4 linked regions of the Canis lupus familiaris genome follow. The protein of the gene in region 2 purifies or fractionates together with the protein of the main gene of each other region. This does not show direct contact. Links are inferred from orthologs where the notes say so. Each region holds a gene or a part of one and is shown on either strand. Other genes may lie near its edges.

Region 1 (3,631 bases), on a different chromosome or scaffold from region 2:
AAACCTTGTGCTCTCTACTTCCGAGGCTGGGACCTCTGTGCAAAGTTCTCCTGGAACATTCTTTGTTCCTGCCACAGCCGTTCTCATTTCCAACAACAAATGGCCTCCCAGTTAAGTGGGGGAGAAGCCTAGGACTTGTCCCTGCCCAGCTAGCCCGTGTGTATGCCCCACAGGCGGGCCATCGGTCCGAGTCCCCCTGACCCCCACTCCCTCAGTACACCTCCCGCCTACAGAGTCGTGGGTGTTACAGCTCGTACAGAATGACAACAGACACCGCGTTTTTAAAAAAACAATCCTTTAATAAACAAAATTAGTCCATCTGAAACTCCTCAATCTGTAGGGTCCTAGTCTTGGATGGGGATAGCTGCAAAATTCCAGTTCCGAAGCTGTCGGAGGCTCAGTGCAGATGGGGACGGTCGGGCCGGTGCTGGTACGGAGGTGCGAGGCCCGCGGAGCGGTCGCCGGAGAGAGCGGGCCGGGCGGCGGGGTTCGCGGGCGCGCGCCTCCTGCAGTCCCGGGGCCCGCGGGGCGCACCGCCCCTCCCCCCCTGGTGGCAGGTCCCCGCGGACGCGTTCGGCCCGAGCCGAGGGGGCGGCAGGGCGGACAGTGACGGGTCGTCCCCGCACCGCGGCGTCCGGAGAGTCCCGGCCCGGCCCGGCCCCGGCGCGTACCTCAGCCCTGCGTCAGCGCGCCGAGCGGCTCTTCCAGGCGGCGCCGCGGCCTCCCCGCGGCCCTCCCCGCGGCCCTCAGCGCGGCCCGGGCGGCTGAGTCACTGGCGCCGCGGCGGGCAGCGGCGCGCCCCCGGCCCCCTCCGGGCCCCTGCGCCGGGCGAGCGGGCGGCCCTCCGGCCGGGAGGCGGCGGGAGCGAGGGCAGGCGAGCCCGCGCGGGGGAGGGGCGGGCCGGGCGGCGGCGGCGGCGGTGACGACGCGGCGGGGGGGAGCCGAGCGCCGCGGCCGCCCGCCCCGAGCCCGACGTGGCTCAGCTCTTTCCGTGAGGGCGGTGGTGGCCCTTAAAAGGGCCTTTGTGGTGGCATGGGGGCCGGCTGCGGCGCGGGCGCCCCTCAGTACTCCTGAGAGGCCTGCGTGGCCTTCTTGCCGCCCGCAGGCGCCTTCGGCCCCACGGTGGCGCTGGTCTTCTTGGGCAGCAGCACGGCCTGGATGTTGGGCAGGACGCCTCCCTGCGCGATCGTCACGCCGCCCAGCAGCTTGTTGAGCTCCTCGTCGTTGCGGATGGCCAGCTGCAGGTGGCGGGGGATGATGCGCGTCTTCTTGTTGTCGCGGGCCGCGTTGCCCGCCAGCTCCAGGATCTCGGCCGTCAGGTACTCGAGCACGGCCGCCAGGTACACCGGCGCGCCGGCGCCCACCCGCTCGGCGTAGTGGCCCTTCCGCAGCAGCCGGTGCACGCGGCCCACGGGGAACTGGAGGCCGGCGCGCGACGAGCGCGACTTGGCCTTGGCGCGGGCCTTGCCGCCGGTCTTGCCGCGGCCCGACATGCTGCGCGAGGTAGAAGAGCTGTGAAGAGGGACGCCTCGAAGGGGGCAACGAACAGCCGCCCGCCGCAGTCCAACTGCTGCCGCGCGCGCCCAGGGGCCGGCCTTATAAGCCCCCAGGGCACACCTCCGCGCCCTCCTGATTGGCTCTCTCCTCGGGTACCCGCCTCCGGTTGGTTGCAGTTAACCCTTCAGTGACGCGCCACGGCCGAGGCAGCGCGCCCGCCGATTGGTCCGATTTGAAAACCTTTTGCCCGGGGAAAAAGGCGAGGAGGAGTGGTAGCACGCAGCCGGCCAACCCCTCCCCGATGTAGCCAATCCTTGCGAAGGGCGCCAGATTTAAACGCTACAGCTGGAGCCCAGAACCGGAAGGCAAAGAGGGTGGAGTCTGGGCCACCTCGAGGGCCTCTGGGAAACCGGTGCGGGCCCGGGATTTTTAAAGGAACGGGGTCGACACCACTCCCTTCCCTTCCTGGTCTGGTCATTCTTCTCTCCTTTCTCCCTCCTCCCATCCTGCAGAGGGAAATGAGAGAGGGAAGAAATGGGAACCCCTCCCGCTGCTCCCCCTAAAAACTTCTGTTCGGCACCAGAGAACAGGCAAGTCCAATCTTAGGGCTCTCCCTGCCACCTGAAGTATGAGGATTTCAGGGCTTATTCAACATGTTCTATTTGGTCTGTTCTTTCTGTTGACTTCTTGTTACAAGGAGCCCACTGTGCTGAAAGAAAAAAGATGGGCAGAGGGATAGGCATCCTCTTGGAGGAGGTACCTCCACCAATCCTCCCGATCTACCCTAAAATGCCCAAAATATACTTACAGGAACACCAAGAAAAAGACAACACTTTATTGTCACCACTGGGAGCACCTGGCCCCCCAATCTGCTCTTACGAATCAGAATACTTAATTTATGGTCAAATAATCAAGTGATCTTCGAGCCTGTGTCCCTCTCCCCAGCCAGGGTTCTATCCCCAGGCCCAACATATTCCTCGAGAGTCCGAGTGGTGGATAACTGCATAAAAAGCACAGTATCCCACTTTGGGAGGCCGCAGGGATGGGATAGAGAGGGAGAGCAGCAAGTTGAAGAAAGCCACAGGCAAAGTCCAATCAACAGTCAGTACAGGGCAAGACAGGCCCAGGATGTCGATCACAGCGGAACGGAATCGCTAAGTACAAAATCTGGAGAAAAGTAAGAGGTGAGAGAGGCCTGGGCCCGGAAGCTTGCCTGGCCCAGAAAGAGGCAGGCCTGAGTCAGGAACCCTGCAGACTATGCAGTGAAGGGCAAGGATTGGGGGACTCAGACATCGTAGAAGAGCCGGACAAGCTGGTACCGGATGGAGAAGGTGACAGCACTGCCAAGGATCTGTGAGGAGAAAGAAACACACCAGAGTCAGAGCCATGGAGAAAGGGAGACCAGAGCCAGCAAAGCCCTTCCCTGACCACACCTGGAGCAGCAGCAGGAGCAGAGTCAGGTTTCTCTCATGCATGGGCCCGAGAACCTTAAGGAGCAAGTTGAGGAGCGTCATGTTGTTACACTCCGTGAAGGCACCATCCTCATTCTCACTCTGGTGCACTGTCACTAGCTGCAGGCTCGCTGCTACCTGGAGGGGCCAGAGGTGGAGAGAACTTCAACTCTGCTTCAGCAATGGGGGATCTGCTTCATGCTTCCAGGCTCCCCTTGGATCTGATGCAAGCCGAGGGTCCCCAGGCCCTGAATTCCGGATGGTGGCCTAGAGCCTTACCTCCTTGTTACCCTGTTACCTTTAGAATAAAGTTGCCCAAGAAAGAGAGGCTCTTGGTCTTGAACTTGGAATAGCTCATCTCCAGTTTGCCTGTCTTGGTATTGAGTCTGCAGGGGGAAGAGAGCTTTATGTGACTGGGCCACTACTCCAAGAACTCTCCACACTGCGGTCAATTAATAGGAAGAGTACCGAAAGTGGAATCAGACAACCTGAAGATCTGTTTCCGGCTCTGCTTACCACTGTGTGATCAGAGCTGATCAGATTATGTGGGTGAATGTGCTCTGTCATTTATAAGGGCTAATTGCACGGAAAGAGCCCTCCTTTGGGCCCATTCCCCTTACACAGCAGATGCAGAAGGCTGGCTTTATGCATCCCAAGTGAAAAAGCTAAGATGTCCCTTTTAA
Region 2 (4,613 bases):
TCCAGCTGCTTCTTATTCCTTTCATTCTGCTGGGTCCTTCTGTACTTTGCCAAAGTAGAAATGCAATAAGCAGTCACAGTTTTGAGATTTCTTTTTCTTGACTTCTATCACTAAAGTACACTAAAAGTACTATAATGCAGATAATAGTGGCTCAAGAAATGCATCTGATTACAACAGGTGAAATTTCCCTGAGAAGGTGACATCTGTGTTGGATTTCAAAAAAAAGTGACAAGGAGTAAAGGAGTTAAAGGAGTTAAAGATCTTTATGTTATTCCTTTAAAATGCAAATGTTCCTCAATATTTGTTTCAGACTGAAAAGGTCTTTTTGGTAAGATAAATGAAATTTTAAGTTTCCTCTCTCCACTCTCTAATACCAAGCACCTAAACAGAGAAGACACAAGACTAAACAAAACACTGCTCAATGATAAACAACTGTCAAAGGGACTATTTCAGTATCTAACTTGAAAATGAACTATAATTTGATTACAATAATCGAAGATGCAATTTTCCTTCTACAGGTAACAGTTTTCAAAAGACAGCAATCATTCTGTAGAGGTCAACAATGGAGTGACTAGTCATCATACCCATTTAAATTTCAAAGGTTTTTACCCTTTGAGGTAAACTGATGTTTTTAATGAATAAAATTACCTGAACCATATCACTGAGCAAGTCAACATTCTTAAAAACAGTCAACCAGAATTCAGGAATTCCCTTGGGGTCTTCTTTTTCTTCATCCTTTTTCTCATCTTCAATCTTGGCTTTTTCTTTTAGCTCCTCCTAGATAAATAACAGCATAAATTATTGAATAACTAGATTAGATCACTTGATAAAATCTTACCATCTCCTAACTTACATCCAGTGATGAAGTACAGAAACCAGCAAATCCTCAATCACCAACTGCAATTTTCAAACAAGTTCTAATCCAACTGTGTAAACACTGCTGTTACCCATACCAAACCTTACTTATTGCTACTACCATAACCCTCCCAAAACGTAGAACCTATGAGCTATGGGGAAACCGTTTTAGAGAAAAAAATTTTTTAACTTTAGTTAAAAAAAGAAACATAAACTGTGCCCAAATCCTCACCCCTTGGTGTTTTTGATCAAAACATTATGTTCTCCTAATCAACCAACATTAAAATAGCAACGCTCGGGAAATAGTCATAGAACAGACACCGGATCTGTGTCACAATCCTGCCATTTATTAGTTGTAGGCAAATCACTTAGAGGCCTCTACTACTTGAAAAACAAGAACAATCCTTTGCATGTCATTAAATTCAAAGGAAAAGTTTACATGATCTATAAAATTTAAATACTAAAAAATGTAAGGGAAAAATGAATTTGGGTACAGATGGTAGCAGGGCAAACAGTGAGTGGCTCATCTGTTCTGATTATTGTTAACTCACCAACAATCTTACAATAAAATATTTCCAAGACAAAAAAAACACTACATTAAAGTTGGTACTGACCGAAATTTCGTCCTCCTCATCTGGTTTCCATTCACATTCTTCTTCCGTAGGTTCATAAATTGCATTAATGATCTCAAATCGCTAAAATGATTTAAAAAAAGAAAAGCTTGCATAAAAACACTGACATCCAAGCCAAAAACTAGCTGTTTTGCATTAAAGCTGTGTATAGATTTTATGAATGCGTACCACCAATTGAATTGCTATTATTGAGTTTTTCCAAATACCTCGAATAACCATTTTGCTGAGAGGTCTATAAAGATTAAACCATCTGCAAGGTTGGTTGTATTTCCAGAGCTTTATTATAATCTCAAATTTTAGGTAAAGAAAATAAAGTAGTAGAAATCATTACCTTATCAAACAGAGGTTGATAGAGAACAGCATACTTTCTTTCAAGATCATGAACTTCCTCATAGAATTTGGCTTCTATCTGTGCACATTTAACTTGAAGATTTTTGAGAGCATTCACTCGTCTTTTAACTACCCTAGGCAAACTGAAAGGTTGGAAGTGCACCAGTTACATAGCATTCAGAGTAAAACACTCACACTTCTATCATATTGAATAGTAAAGCATAAAAGTTAGTGAATGTTAAATCTCCTATTTGAAACAAAAGGTCTATTCAAAGTAATTAAAAGTCAAGAAATATAAAATACACAGACTTAACTAGAAAATATTTCAAAAGTGAACATTTAAACAGATACAGTAAGTTGATAAAAAGATGTAAATCACATAAATCTTTCATCATAATCAAGTTCAGCAAAGACTTGTCAGTGCTGGCATCTAAGCTGTAAAACAGTCTATCTTAGGAAGTTAAAATTTAGGGACTGACTGAGCATCCTGAGAATAACGACAATAACCTTGATTTAAAAAAATAAAGTATGTGTATCTCACCCATACCAGCTATTTTTAGGGAAAAGGAGAGGAGCATATGTATATTAGAAAAAAGGATGATATCCTATACCATTATTTCCTCTTTTAGTCTCTGTATTTAAAACTTGAATTTAGGGACGCCTGGGTGGCTCAGTGGTTGAGCGTCTGCCTTTGGCTCAGGACATGATTCCCCTGTCCGGGGTCCAGGGATCAGGTCCCACATCGGGCTCCCTGCATGGAGCCTGCTTCTCCCTCTGCCTGTGTGTCTGCCTCTCTCAGTCTCTCATGAATAAATAAATAAAATCTTTAAAAAAAAGAAACTTGAATTTACATTAAAAAAAGAATGCTATATTTCATGAAGGGACTTAATAGCTTTGAGATATAATTCATAAATCATACAATTTTCTATGGGGTATACGCCACCTGAAGTATAAGTAAACTTATGAATCCCCTACCACCCAAAAACTGTTCACTTAAGGGGATCCCTGGGTGGCGCAGCGGTTTAGCGCCTGCCTTTGGCCCAGGGCGCGATCCTGGAGACCCGGGATCGAATCCCACGTCGGGCTCCCAGTGCATGGAGCCTGCTTCTCCCTCTGCCTATGTCTCTGTCTCTCTCTTTCTCTCTCTCTCTCTCTGTCTGTCACTATCATAAATAAATAAAAATTAAAAAAAAAAAAACTGTTCACTTAAAATTGATCTAACTTCAGGGAATCTGTGTAAGAGATCCAGAATCCAGGTTAGAATTTTCTGCCATGAGCAGATTGTTGTAAATCAAATATTTCTCTTACTTAACCGCTACTTTAGTTACATTAATCAGAAGTAAAAAAACAAATTACCTATTACCAATTTTTTATTTCTTACAGTTAAAAGTAAAGCTTAATGTTTTGTCAAGGTGATGAAATAACATGGGGTGCTGCCCACACCTACACCGTATCTCAGAAAAAAAAAATGAACCCTAGAACTTCAGAACCAAGAAGAAAACAACTATTTCAGGGACTTACACACTCACACGCACACATACTACGGAGCAACTTCTGAGTAAGACTAACAACCGTACAGGGTGAACTGCCACCTGGAAATGGGCAAGAATGAGCAGAACAGGGAACAGGACAGACTGGAAGAAAGCTTTTGAAATTTTGGGTTTGCCTTACAACAGCCAGTGCCTGACCTCTTCACCCTTCACAAAGCCCAGGTGCCAGCATTCTTAGGAGTTCGTTGAGCTGAGAGCCTACAAAGCACTCCCTCCTCCACCCCTCCAACCCAGGTACAACAGATTACAACCAAAGGAGCAACTTCCTCTGCCCCAAGCAGCCAAAGACAATTGCCTGGAATTGACAGTAAACTTTGAGTCTCAGGTGACCAGACTCTATTCTTAAATTCCACGAGACTGTCACAAACCAGAGCCTGATCTTTTCTCCTCCCTCAATAATCATTATTGAGGAGTAAATCAGCCAGTGAGCCTGAGCTCTACAGCCAAAATAACTAAAACTTTAAGGAGTATAAATTTCTAATGAAAGAATGAAATACGTATCATCTGAAGCCGTATTATTAGACAGAACAATGTAAATATATTTAAAGAGAGGAGGGAAGAAACAAGACCAAGAAATCTAAAACAAAGTAGAAATATTAAATATGAAAAATACAGTAGCTGAAACAAATAACCAACAAATAAGATAAACAGGATAGGTTCAGCTTAAGGAAGTTCATTAAAGTTGGAATACTCTCCAGAAAAGCAGCAGGAAAGACAGAAAAATGATTTGAACAAAATTAGCAACAGCTGAAAGACAGGAGGTGGATATCTGAAGAAAAGAGCAATAAATTTCTCAGAATTAAAGTAATATGAAAATCCTTACTCTAACCCCTAGACAGGTGAATGATATTCATGAATATCAAAGACCAAATAAAATTCTAAGTGTGTTCAATGAAAAAGCAAATAACCTATACAGGAAAAGGAATCGGACTGACAACAGGCTTCAAAAGAAAACTCCAGATACAAGAAGAAATGAATTTTTAAGATATTTAAGAACTTTGAACTTAAAATTTTATAAGCCAAACTATTATTCAAATATGAAGGCAAAATAAAAATTGTATGAGACATATGAAGCTTCAGGAAATATGCCACAAACACTCATTACATTAAAAATAATTTCTAAGTAAAAAAAAAAAAAAAAAAAAAAAATCCGGAAATACTATGTAAGTGTGGGTGGCCAAAAACCTTGGTAAATTTTACTGTTGTCCTTGATGGGAAAAAAGAGGACTAGAGAACATATACGTGT
Region 3 (5,062 bases), on a different chromosome or scaffold from region 2:
CATTTCTCACTACCTCCATTGCTACCACTCTAGGCCAAACACAATCATTGCTTACTTAGATAACTAAGTTATCTCTTTCCAGGTAGACATCTAATCTATACTTCTTATTGATTAGGCAGCTAGGGTGTTCTATCTAAAACTCAAATCTGTATTGTATCAAAGCCTAAACCCCTTCAAAAACCTCTCAGTGCTCTCAAGATCAAGACCAAAGTCCTTACCTTGGCCTTCAAGGCTAGCTATGATTTGGAAGCAATGGGAATTTGGGTACTAGAACTGGAAGGCAAGGAGGAGCGGTGTCTAGTGTGAAATAAAGCCTTTGTGGATGGGGGAGAGAATCTAGGAGACAAGAAATTAGGAAACTGATAAAAACTTGGAGGAAGCAACAATTGAGAGAAAGAGAGGAATCAGGAGAACAGAGGCCCATCTTGTGTGGGAAGTGTGTGTGTGTGTGTGTGTGTGTGTGTGTGTGTAAAAGAGAGAGAGAGAGAATTATCCATAGAATGTAGGGATTGATATTTTATTATAGTAAAGGAAAAGGTGACCTCATAAAGCACTAGACTTATGACCATTTGAATTACTTTTGAGTGTAAGAAAGGTATTGAATATTATTTCTGTAACTGACCACTACGCTGAATTTTATTATGGTTTCTAATAACTTTTTAGTTGATGCTTTGGGGTTCTCCAGGTCTGCATTCATATACTCAGTAACTAATGATAATTCTGTCTACTTTCCATTATTTATACATCTTATTTTGTTCTCTTGAATAGACCCAATTACTTATGTAAATTTATTATGTGATAAAAGTGTCATGTCAAATCAATGGGAAAAAAGATGGATTAATTTGCAAATGGTGTAAGGATAAGAGACAGTGATTTTGGAAAATAATTAAGCTGAGTCCTTTTACAAAACAGATTTTGGAATAATCAAATACTTAAATGTAAATATCAAAGCCATAAAAGTGCTTGGGAAAAAACAGGGATTGTTATAGGAGTGTGGAAAGCATCTTTAAGCATGAAGCAGAATCCAGTCGTGATAAAGGAACACCTGATACATTTCATCATATAACAATTAAATCCTTTTGTATAGCAAAGGTTATCATGAATAACATGAAAAATATTTGTTATATTTGTAACACAAGCATATGAGAGACATTGTTGGTGGGAACATTATTCCCATGTACCTTTTGAGAGTAAGTTGACAAATTTCTTATCAAATGGAAGACTTTTTGTAGCATTTTAGTCAGCAAAAAGTACTGCAAATAAAAAAAGCTCAATACAGATATACAGATGCAGAATATTCCTTGTAGCATTGCTTGTAATAGGAGAGAGAGAGAGAGAGAGAGAGAGAGAGAGAGAAACAATCTGAATGTCCATAGCCATGTATCCTGGACTGGTTAAATAAATTATGGGCCATCTATACAAGATAATAATATGAAGTTGTTAAGAAAAATGTGCACTATAGAAAGCTGTTTAGAATATATAACTGGAAAAAAAACAGGTCATGGAACAGTAGGTGTAGGATACCATTTGTGGGGAGAAACCCCAAATAATTAGTAATGAATAGGAAAAAAATCTGGAGGACTGTATATAAAAATGTTAATAGTGGTTATTTCTGGGAAATGAGATAAGGGTGGCCTTTCATTGGTATGTTACACATTTCTGCATTATTTGAATTTTCACATGATTATCTTTGTAATAAGAAAAAATAAAGATACGAAAATAAATACATTCAGTGAATGAATCGCTTTGAGGCGGTGGTTTTAGTTCGAAGGTCTGCAGACTGAGCCTGGTACAGTGGCATAAACATGGGCTTTGGCGTCAGACAGCCCAGAGCTGGGCCCCTTGCCCCACCCCCAAGGAAGGAGGGGGGTGGCAGGGGGCTGCGGAAAGGGGCTGGGCTGGGCTGGCTGCAGCTCTAGTCCAGGAGGCTGAGACTTCGAGAGGGACTGAGAGAGGGCAGACTCATCCCGGACTTGCTGGAGGACAAGGTGAGGGGCGTTGAGATTTGGGTTTCCTGGCAGCCAGTGATTTCAGTTCCCTCGAACCTATAGCCAGGCAGGTGGGCAATCCATACTGCACCACTGCAGCTGAGGGAGAGATGACCTGGAGCAGGATGTAGGCAATCAGGACTCCTGAGGGTAGTAGGCGGTAAGGATTGGCGATCTGAGACTAGTGGGGAGGAGGGGAACCGGGTTTGTTGAGTGACCGACTGGGAGGAAGAGGGGAATACTGAGGGAAAGTGGAAATCCAGAGAAGAAAATAGGGAATGCAGAGAAGGGTTAAGGAGTACTAGGGAAGGGGGTGCAAAGGTAACACAGGATAGGATGTAAGGAATAGGAATAAGGAATTCTGTGGGGTAAAATAGGAAATGCGAGGGGTGATAGGGAGCAGGGAGCAAGGCAGAGGGAATACGGGGGTGATAAGGAATGAGGATCAGCGGGGGGCGGGGGGGAAGGGCAGACTGGCTGCGACAGAGGCCCCCCTAGGGAGGCGGAAAGGGGCGGGACCACTTCCGGCCTGGAGCAGGGAGGGCAGTCTAGGAGTTTTAGAGGGGCTTGGAGCGTGGACGCACTCTGGAACTTAAGGAGAAGGAGGTGAGCTGTGGGGCCCAGCCCGGCTCTGGATCACAGCCCAATAAGGATCGGCCCCACCCTCTCATATCTGGAGAAAACCTGCTGTAGGGACCGGATCGTACCGGATCCATCCGGATGGGAAGGGAGGGGACTGGACCCGGTTTGGCTGGGCCTAAAATGGAATCACTGGCTCCATTCTAGATTTGAGGAGGGGGTGTACTAAGGAAGGGGCGGAACCAAGATGCGCTTTGCCCCTGGTTGGAGGGGGCGTGTTGTGAAAAAGGGCGGGACAGGGCCATAGTGTGGACTTGGGGTGGGTGTGAGTAGGGGAGGGGCCGGGACCACCAAACTGCGACAATTTTAGAAGAAAGCTTGTTGGGGAGGGGGCGGGACCAAATGGTACTGCGGACCTGGAGAAGGGCTTGTGTTGAGAAAGGGCGGTGGACGGAGTCCGGACCATTGCGCATGCACACTCTGGATTGCTAGGAAGGGGCGTGTAGAGGAAAGCCAGCCTGGAGACGGGCTGCTGCCGAATGCGCATGTGCATGGTGGACTTCAAAGAAAGAGCTTGTGCTGGGAAAGCGGGCGGGGCTGAGGTGGGCCTCCGCAGCGAACGCGCATGCGCATTGTTGGTCTGCGGCTGGAGGGGGGGTGCACTGGGAAAAGGGGCGGGGTCCTCAGAGCTGCCGCGCTGGCACATCTTCCTGGAGAAGGGGAGGGTGCGGCTGCAGAGAATTGAGATCTAGAAGCTTTGGATTACTGAATCCGAGAACGGAGTCATTGGGGGCGGGGGCGGGGTTTGGGTTTGGGGCCCTAGGGAAAGTGAGGATCAGCTTCCAGGCAGAACAGGAGAGAGGACGTTCAGGCCCTTTGACACAGGCCTTCTCTCCTCAGGCTCAGCTCTTGCCAGGCCAACTTGAGACATGTCTGACACAAGCGAGAAAGGTACGGGTCCAACCCGCTTCCAGGTAAGGCCTCATTTTGTCCTCTCCCTTACTACTTTTCTTCTCCAGCGCGTTGCTGCCTCAGTTCCCTTGGTACCACCCCTCCCATCCTTGTCCTTTACCCACTTTCCTTCCTGGGTGCCCCCCCTCACCAGTAGAGGGAGTGAGGGAGGGAGGAAAGAAGGAAGAATGAAGGATGGAGGAAGGAAGTAGGGAGGGAGGGCAGGCCTGCCTTCTTCTGCCATCACTTCCTGCTCAGAGGAAGGAGAGGCCTTGTTGGGTCTAGGTGGGCAGAGCTCACTGTAAGTAGGAGTTAGTATAGGTCAGAGAAGTGAGGTCCTGGAATTTTGGAGCCATTTTCCTAGTTGGGAATGGGGAGAAGGTCTGTGAGCTTTCCTGCTTCCTCTTGCAGGCTGAAGCTTCAGAGGACAGTGGCTTGAAGATACAGACCCTATTGACAGTGACCCATAATTTGGAGGTCTCAGAGATACCGAAGACCTCAAAGGCACTAGAGACCTCAGAAGCCATGAAGGTCTCAAATGCTGCAGGAGTCTCAAAGGCCACAGAGGTCTCAAAGGCCCCAGAGGCTCAGGAGGTGGCTGCCACTCAGGCCTCCCCTACCACTAAGCTGACTGATACCCAGGTTCTGACAGTTGAAAAGAAGAGTCCAGCAGCTGACACCAAGATGCAGAGTGCTGACCCTCAGCCTGTGACAATGCCTGCCACTGAAACCAAAAAGGTCAGCTGTGTGGCTGATATAAAGGCTGGTACAAAGGCCCTGGAGACTGAGGCTCCTGCCTCTCAGGCTTTGGCAGATGAACCTAAGCCTGATGGTGCGGCTGCCCAGGCTCAGGAGAATCAGGATACTCGGCCCAAGGTCAAGGCCAAGAAAGCCAGAAAGGTAAGACGTCTATAAACACCAGTCTTCCCTTTCCACTTCTCTTCATTAGTCCATTTGTTCTGCAAACATTTAGAAAGTTCCCTGTGCTCATCAAGATTAAGGGGGACAATAAGAGGAATGTGATATCATTTCTCTCTGCAGAGAGTTCACAGAGTCATGGAGAACTGAGATAGTACACATACTTAGCTGCAATGTTAATGTAGTTTGTATTTACATAGGACCTACCATGTGTTAGACCTTGAGCTAGGCACATGCATACAGGTTATTTCATTAAATCCTGAAAGTAATCCAGTTTTATAGAGAAGGAAGCTGAGTCCTAGAAAGGTGGGGTGACTTGTGCAGGGTGGTACAAGAAGGGCCAGTGGTGGACATAGGAAGAGGAGAATTCTCAGGCCCCATCTCAGGTTGTTCCTAGCCTGGTAGAGAGATGAAACTTCTGCATTGAAGTCAGTGAAAAACAGTCCCAAGACTCAACATGGCCAATGTCTAATCAGGCTGTTACTCCAGGGGTGGGATTAGAGGGGCCTTCCAGAAGAGAGAGGATGAGGGAAAAGGAACATCTACTTTGTTTGACAATATTGTGCTTCCTCTCTGTTGCTGCAGGTGAAGCATCTGAATAGCGAAGAGGATGGCAATAGTGATCA
Region 4 (4,960 bases), on a different chromosome or scaffold from region 2:
TCGTTCGTTCGTTTGTTCATTCATTCATTCATTCATTCATTCATTCATTCATTCACGAGAGACAGGGCGGGTGGGGGCAGAGAGATAGAGGGAGAAGCAGGCTCCTTGCAGGGAGCCTGATGTGAGACTTGATCCCTGGACCAGGGTCATGCCTTGAGCCAAAGGCACTTAACCGCTGAACCACCCAGGCGTCCCTTGGTCTTTCCCTTCCTGATGCAAAGGTGGTGTCACAAGATCCAATTAAAGGTGAGCTATCAGGTGCATGCAAGCCCTTTGAGATGTATGCAAACCCTCTGACTCACCATAATGCTCTCCTGTGTGGCTCCTCACTCTCTAGAATCTGGCACTATGGTCTGGATTTTGCAGAGAGTAACTATGCAGCTGCCATGGATCATCCCCCACCCAATCCCCTCTATTAGTAAGTTACCCTGAACAAAGCTCTGTGTAAACTGTTTGGAGTGGCTTGCTTCATCTTCTGGTCTCAAAGTGCCTTCTCAGTTTGGGGAATCATTCTCAGTTTGGGGGATGCTTCCACCTCCTAACAATGGGAGATATATAGAATATGTATAATGTCACCAACTAAATATAGATGTATTATCACATTAAATTCAGTCGGAGCTAAAACGGATATGTCAGCCTTACCAATAAAACCCAGTCACTACAAATGGTAACAGAAAAGGGGAAAGTAAATTACTGGAACAGAATTAAGAAAGTAAACAGACAACAAGAATCACCAATACATAAACAAAAACACCCTAGAATGTCTGCTAATGGGAATATATTGGGCTTTTTGTAAATGGTTCCTTTCTTTGGGGAAGGGCACAAAAATGTCCTTCTTAAAAGGGAACATTAATGCAGGTTACCTTGCATATTCATGAATGCAATTATTTTGTTTAAAAAAAAAACACACACCAAGTGGTTGCTACGTGTCAGCATTAAGTGCTTTACATATTAACTAATATTCATAAAAACCGTAAGATAACATCAAATGTACTCTGGGAAGTAATTTCCTAACATTCATACGCTTGATGGAAGAGCTTTAGTAAGTCCCAATTTGGTGAATGAAAAACATTTAAATCAATTCCTGTCGCATTTGAAAACATTCCTACGGAATCCCTGGAAGGATCATTCGTCTTCTTCCATACCTCAAGTATGTGCAGTCATCTTTAATTCAAGAAGCTACATTCGGCCTGATAAAAGCAAGGGGGAAGAAGTAACATAAAGCGACTACTCACCCTGCTATCAGAAAAGGAGACTTCTCTAGTTAGGACCTTTCTGAAAAAGTGTTCTCAGATGCAAATCAGCAGCAAGACCACAAAGCGGACTGAACCGTGGAGTGCACTGGGGGACCACGTCTGAGAGCACACGGGGGCGCCCCTACGAACAGCCGCACTGAACACACGCTTTACCCCGGGCGTGGGGGGGCCTTGCCGGTCTTTGGCGGTTCTCCAGCTTTACTCCTGCCCTCAGGACAAGGATCTGAGGGAACTTCCAGAACACACCCCAGAATACCAAGGGTCCTTAGACTCCCTATCCAAATGGCTGCAAAACTGCTTCCAGGGTGCCTCTTGCTAAGAGACGTGCCGCCAACACACAGGGCACTAAGCTGAGGACGACCGAGGCCGCTGGGTGGGCATCTGCCCGCGTGGGCTGCCCTCTCCGACACAGGCCCCCGTCCCCGAAGGGCGGGCAGAGGAGGGTCCGCTCTCCCGTGCCTCCGCCGTCTGGAAGGGAGGCGGCCGAAGCCACTGACGCCAGACCAAGGCCAGCTGTGCGGTGCTGCAGAGGCCGAGGCCGACAGCCCCGAGGTGGGGTCCGAGGACGCGAGCGGGGCAGAGCGGCGGACTCAGGAGGGCGGAGGCCGCCCAAGCGGCTCCCGAAGAGGGGGCCTCGGGCACCTGCTGCCGTTCCCAGCCCAGCTCCGCGGGGGCGAGCGCCTAAGGAACGCGCTTGGACGTCAGCCGCGGTGCCAGGGAGGCGGCGGGCAGCCCCAGGGCCCGCGGGCGCCCGTCAGCTGACGGCGGAGCGCCAGTCGGGGGCGGCGGCAGGGGGGCGGGGCGCGGCGCGGCCGACGTCACCGCCGCGGCCGACGTCACCGCCGCGTGCCGCAGCCGCAGGACCGCTCTGGCGCAGCGCGGGCGCGGGTGTCTGCGGGAGCCACGCTAGAGCTCCGCGGCTGCTGCTGTAACATGGCTGACTCGGAAAACCAGGGGCCTGCGGAGCCGAGCCAGGCGGCGGCGGAGGCGGCGGAGGAGGTAATGGCGGAAGGCGGCGCGCAGGGGGGAGACTCGGACAGCGCGGCCGGTCCGACGGCCGAGGAGCCCCAGACCCCCGCGGACAACGCGCCGAAGCCCAAAAATGACTTTATCGAGAGCCTGCCCAACTCGGTGAAGTGCCGAGTCCTGGCCCTCAAAAAGCTGCAGAAGCGCTGCGATAAGATAGAAGCCAAATTTGATAAGGAATTTCAGGCTCTGGAAAAAAAGTATAACGACATCTATAAGCCCCTACTTGCCAAGATCCAAGAGCTCACCGGTGAGATGGAGGGGTGTGCATGGACCTTAGAGGGGGAGGAGGACGACGACGACGAGGAAGAGTACGAGGATGAGGAGGAGGGGGAGGAGGAGGAGGAGGAGGAGGAGGAAGCTGCGGCGGAGGCTGCTGTGGAGGCGGCGGCTGCCAAAGATGAGGGTCCCCACTCTGCAGTGCCTGATGACGCCAAGAAATAAGCGGGGCCAGAGATGGAAGAGGAAGAGTGACGACGAAAACAAAACCCCCTATTTTCTTTCTTTCTTTCTTTTTCTTTTTTTTGAATATTGGTGGACTTCTAAAAATAAGGCTCAGGTTTGGGACCAAAATACAATGTGAATCAATTTTGACGTTCCTAAAATTAAGTTCAATTGAAGCAATCAGATCCTGGCCAGCCCGTTTCACATTTTTCATTTTGAACACAATAAATGTATCAAAAGGTGTTGAAGAAAACCAGTTAAATTTAAAATGATTTTTTTTTTTTCCATGATCTCTTCTGCACGGACTGCAATTGAGGCTTAAGGGTGTCAAGTAGATGTGAAGAATGTCACTTTGAAACCTATTCATCCCACCATCATCACACTACACACGGAACACCCAGACCAAGACTGAATGAACATGTTCTCAATGCTTAATTCTTCAGTTTCTTTAGTCCGGACATTCTCCAGTGCGGAAAAAGCAGAAGACTCTCATCTTTAAGTCTTTGCTTTTGTAACCCACACATCAGCTTTACACTTCAGAGAAGAGTGATGGAATTGTGGAAGCCTGTGATGGAGATCATGACAGTACTGTTTAATGAGGTCTGGAAAACTGCCACTTCACATTCTAAAGAATGTTCTGAATATTTGAATTTAAGACAAGCAACATGGTTCTGAGAAGGAGGGTGTATAACCTGTATAATATTGTCAACGTATGTGTTCGTTATTTACAGTCTTATGTTTATGTGTGTTCTTGGTAGCGTCTGTTTACAAAGGTGGAAAAAAAAACCCCAAAATGTTTTAAGTATTCAATCCCTTTACCTAGCTTTCTAGAAATATTAATTTACTTGAAAAGATGTAGAATGTAGCAAATCCTGTAAAGCATGTGTATTCAGTGTTTTATGTAGTTTGATCCTTGTGAAGTCTTTTTGTCATGTAGCTTTTAGAATGTAGCTGTGAAAATTATCAGAACTCTTCAATGAAGCTAATGTTGGAAAAAATAAATACTTGAAGAACCAATACAAGTGTGTGTCCCCACCCCCAGCTCAGAAGTAGAAGGGTTTAAGTTTGCTTGTATTAGCTGTGCCTTCATTATTTTGCTATGTAAATGTGACATAATAAATTTAAAAAATGGTGCATATTCAAATTTTAATGCTTGAAGACAGACTGGCATACAGTTAAGGATTTTCAGGAAGGACACATTAAATGTAAAGACTCCTAAGCTTCCTTGTGGGTTTTGAACTTTGTGTGATTCAGTGATCTATAAAAAAACATAAGCATAAAGTTGTTTACCACTGTAGTGTTAATAAAACAGTATTTTCAAAAAACAAAAGGACTCGGAATACTCTGCCTGCCTGCCTGGAATCAAATCCCAGCTCTGCCTCTTACAAGCAACGAACCTTACACAAGTCAGTTGATCTGTTTCAGTTTCTCCTTCTATAAAAGGGGATAGTAACAGCCTCTTCCTCACAATTATGGAGAACAAGTCAGCTAATACACAAGTTCTGTAGGATAAGGTCTGACACACACTCAGTGCTCAAGAAATTTCAGCTATTATTATTTAATTATTGTTTTATTATTACATGAAAGATAAAGACACTGATTGGAAATTCAATCTTCCTTCCCTCCCCAGGTACAAAAGGGGGAGAAAACAGACATCATTGTATTCTTAAGTTTATCGATTCCTCCTCAAAGAATGTGGACTTTAATTTGAAAACAGGAAATTCAATAATCTATCTCATTTTGGTTTCCTCAATATATAATAAGGTTTTGATTTCCTCCCAGAATAGATAAAAGACTTTTACATGTGATATTATGCATATGCAAAACAAGGCTACTTCAACCTTAACATCTGGGCATCCTGAATGAAGCAAAATAGTCTAAAAATTAACCCTCCCCCCTAAAACTTAAAAATTCAGATGCATTTCTTCCATTTCACTTAAGGGTTAAAATTACACAAGTGAAATTATGCCACTTTTCCTTAAGGACAGGAAGGCAGCTCCGACCTGTTGCTATTGGCAATAGTAGAGTTAAACCTTAACATAATGTTAATCATCCTTAGGACCAGGCCAGCCGAAAGAGAAAAATCAAGGTAACATATTATGCAAGAAGTCAATGATTATCTTAATTATATGATTATTTTAATAGAAGCAAAAACTAATAAAATTCAGTATTTCTTATCTCTAGGGATAAGAGACTCCTTTAATATTTTTCTAAATCCATCTAGTAAAAAAAAA

What was found.
Region 1: the proteins of NAP1L1 (region 2) and H2AX purify together in Homo sapiens (affinity purification with mass spectrometry; 3 studies listed by BioGRID and IntAct, counting the BioPlex papers as one, with this or other methods). This does not show direct contact. The link is inferred for Canis lupus familiaris from reciprocal best matches to the Homo sapiens genes NAP1L1 and H2AX.
Region 3: the proteins of NAP1L1 (region 2) and MAGED2 purify together in Homo sapiens (affinity purification with mass spectrometry; 4 studies listed by BioGRID and IntAct, counting the BioPlex papers as one, with this or other methods). This does not show direct contact. The link is inferred for Canis lupus familiaris from reciprocal best matches to the Homo sapiens genes NAP1L1 and MAGED2.
Region 4: the proteins of NAP1L1 (region 2) and NAP1L5 purify together in Homo sapiens (affinity purification with mass spectrometry; 3 studies listed by BioGRID and IntAct, counting the BioPlex papers as one, with this or other methods). This does not show direct contact. The link is inferred for Canis lupus familiaris from reciprocal best matches to the Homo sapiens genes NAP1L1 and NAP1L5.

What each region holds. Positions count from the first base shown.
Region 1 is NC_049226.1:14,789,764-14,793,394, reverse strand, and holds H2AX (histone H2AX), read right to left. Parts: upstream 1,597-3,631; 5' UTR 1,494-1,596; coding exon 1,062-1,493; 3' UTR 905-1,061; downstream 1-904. Other genes in the region: DPAGT1 (UDP-N-acetylglucosamine--dolichyl-phosphate N-acetylglucosaminephosphotransferase), read right to left, coding at 2,783-2,848, 2,931-3,086, 3,247-3,334. UniProt on the Homo sapiens protein: Variant histone H2A which replaces conventional H2A in a subset of nucleosomes. Nucleosomes wrap and compact DNA into chromatin, limiting DNA accessibility to the cellular machineries which require DNA as a template.
Region 2 is NC_049236.1:19,277,059-19,281,671, forward strand, and holds part of NAP1L1 (nucleosome assembly protein 1-like 1), read right to left. Parts: intron 1,961-4,613; coding exon 1,819-1,960; intron 1,551-1,818; coding exon 1,470-1,550; intron 778-1,469; coding exon 649-777; intron 1-648. UniProt on the Homo sapiens protein: Histone chaperone that plays a role in the nuclear import of H2A-H2B and nucleosome assembly.
Region 3 is NW_023330544.1:39,713-44,774, reverse strand, and holds the start of MAGED2 (melanoma-associated antigen D2), read left to right. Parts: upstream 1-1,858; 5' UTR 1,859-1,988; intron 1,989-2,074; exon of another isoform or gene 2,075-2,169; intron 2,170-2,501; exon of another isoform or gene 2,502-2,594; intron 2,595-2,976; exon of another isoform or gene 2,977-3,467; 5' UTR 3,468-3,496; coding exon 3,497-3,541; intron 3,542-3,929; coding exon 3,930-4,418; intron 4,419-5,021; coding exon 5,022-5,062. UniProt on the Homo sapiens protein: Regulates the expression, localization to the plasma membrane and function of the sodium chloride cotransporters SLC12A1 and SLC12A3, two key components of salt reabsorption in the distal renal tubule.
Region 4 is NC_049253.1:27,994,893-27,999,852, forward strand, and holds NAP1L5 (nucleosome assembly protein 1-like 5), read left to right. Parts: upstream 1-2,091; 5' UTR 2,092-2,189; coding exon 2,190-2,726; 3' UTR 2,727-4,056; downstream 4,057-4,960.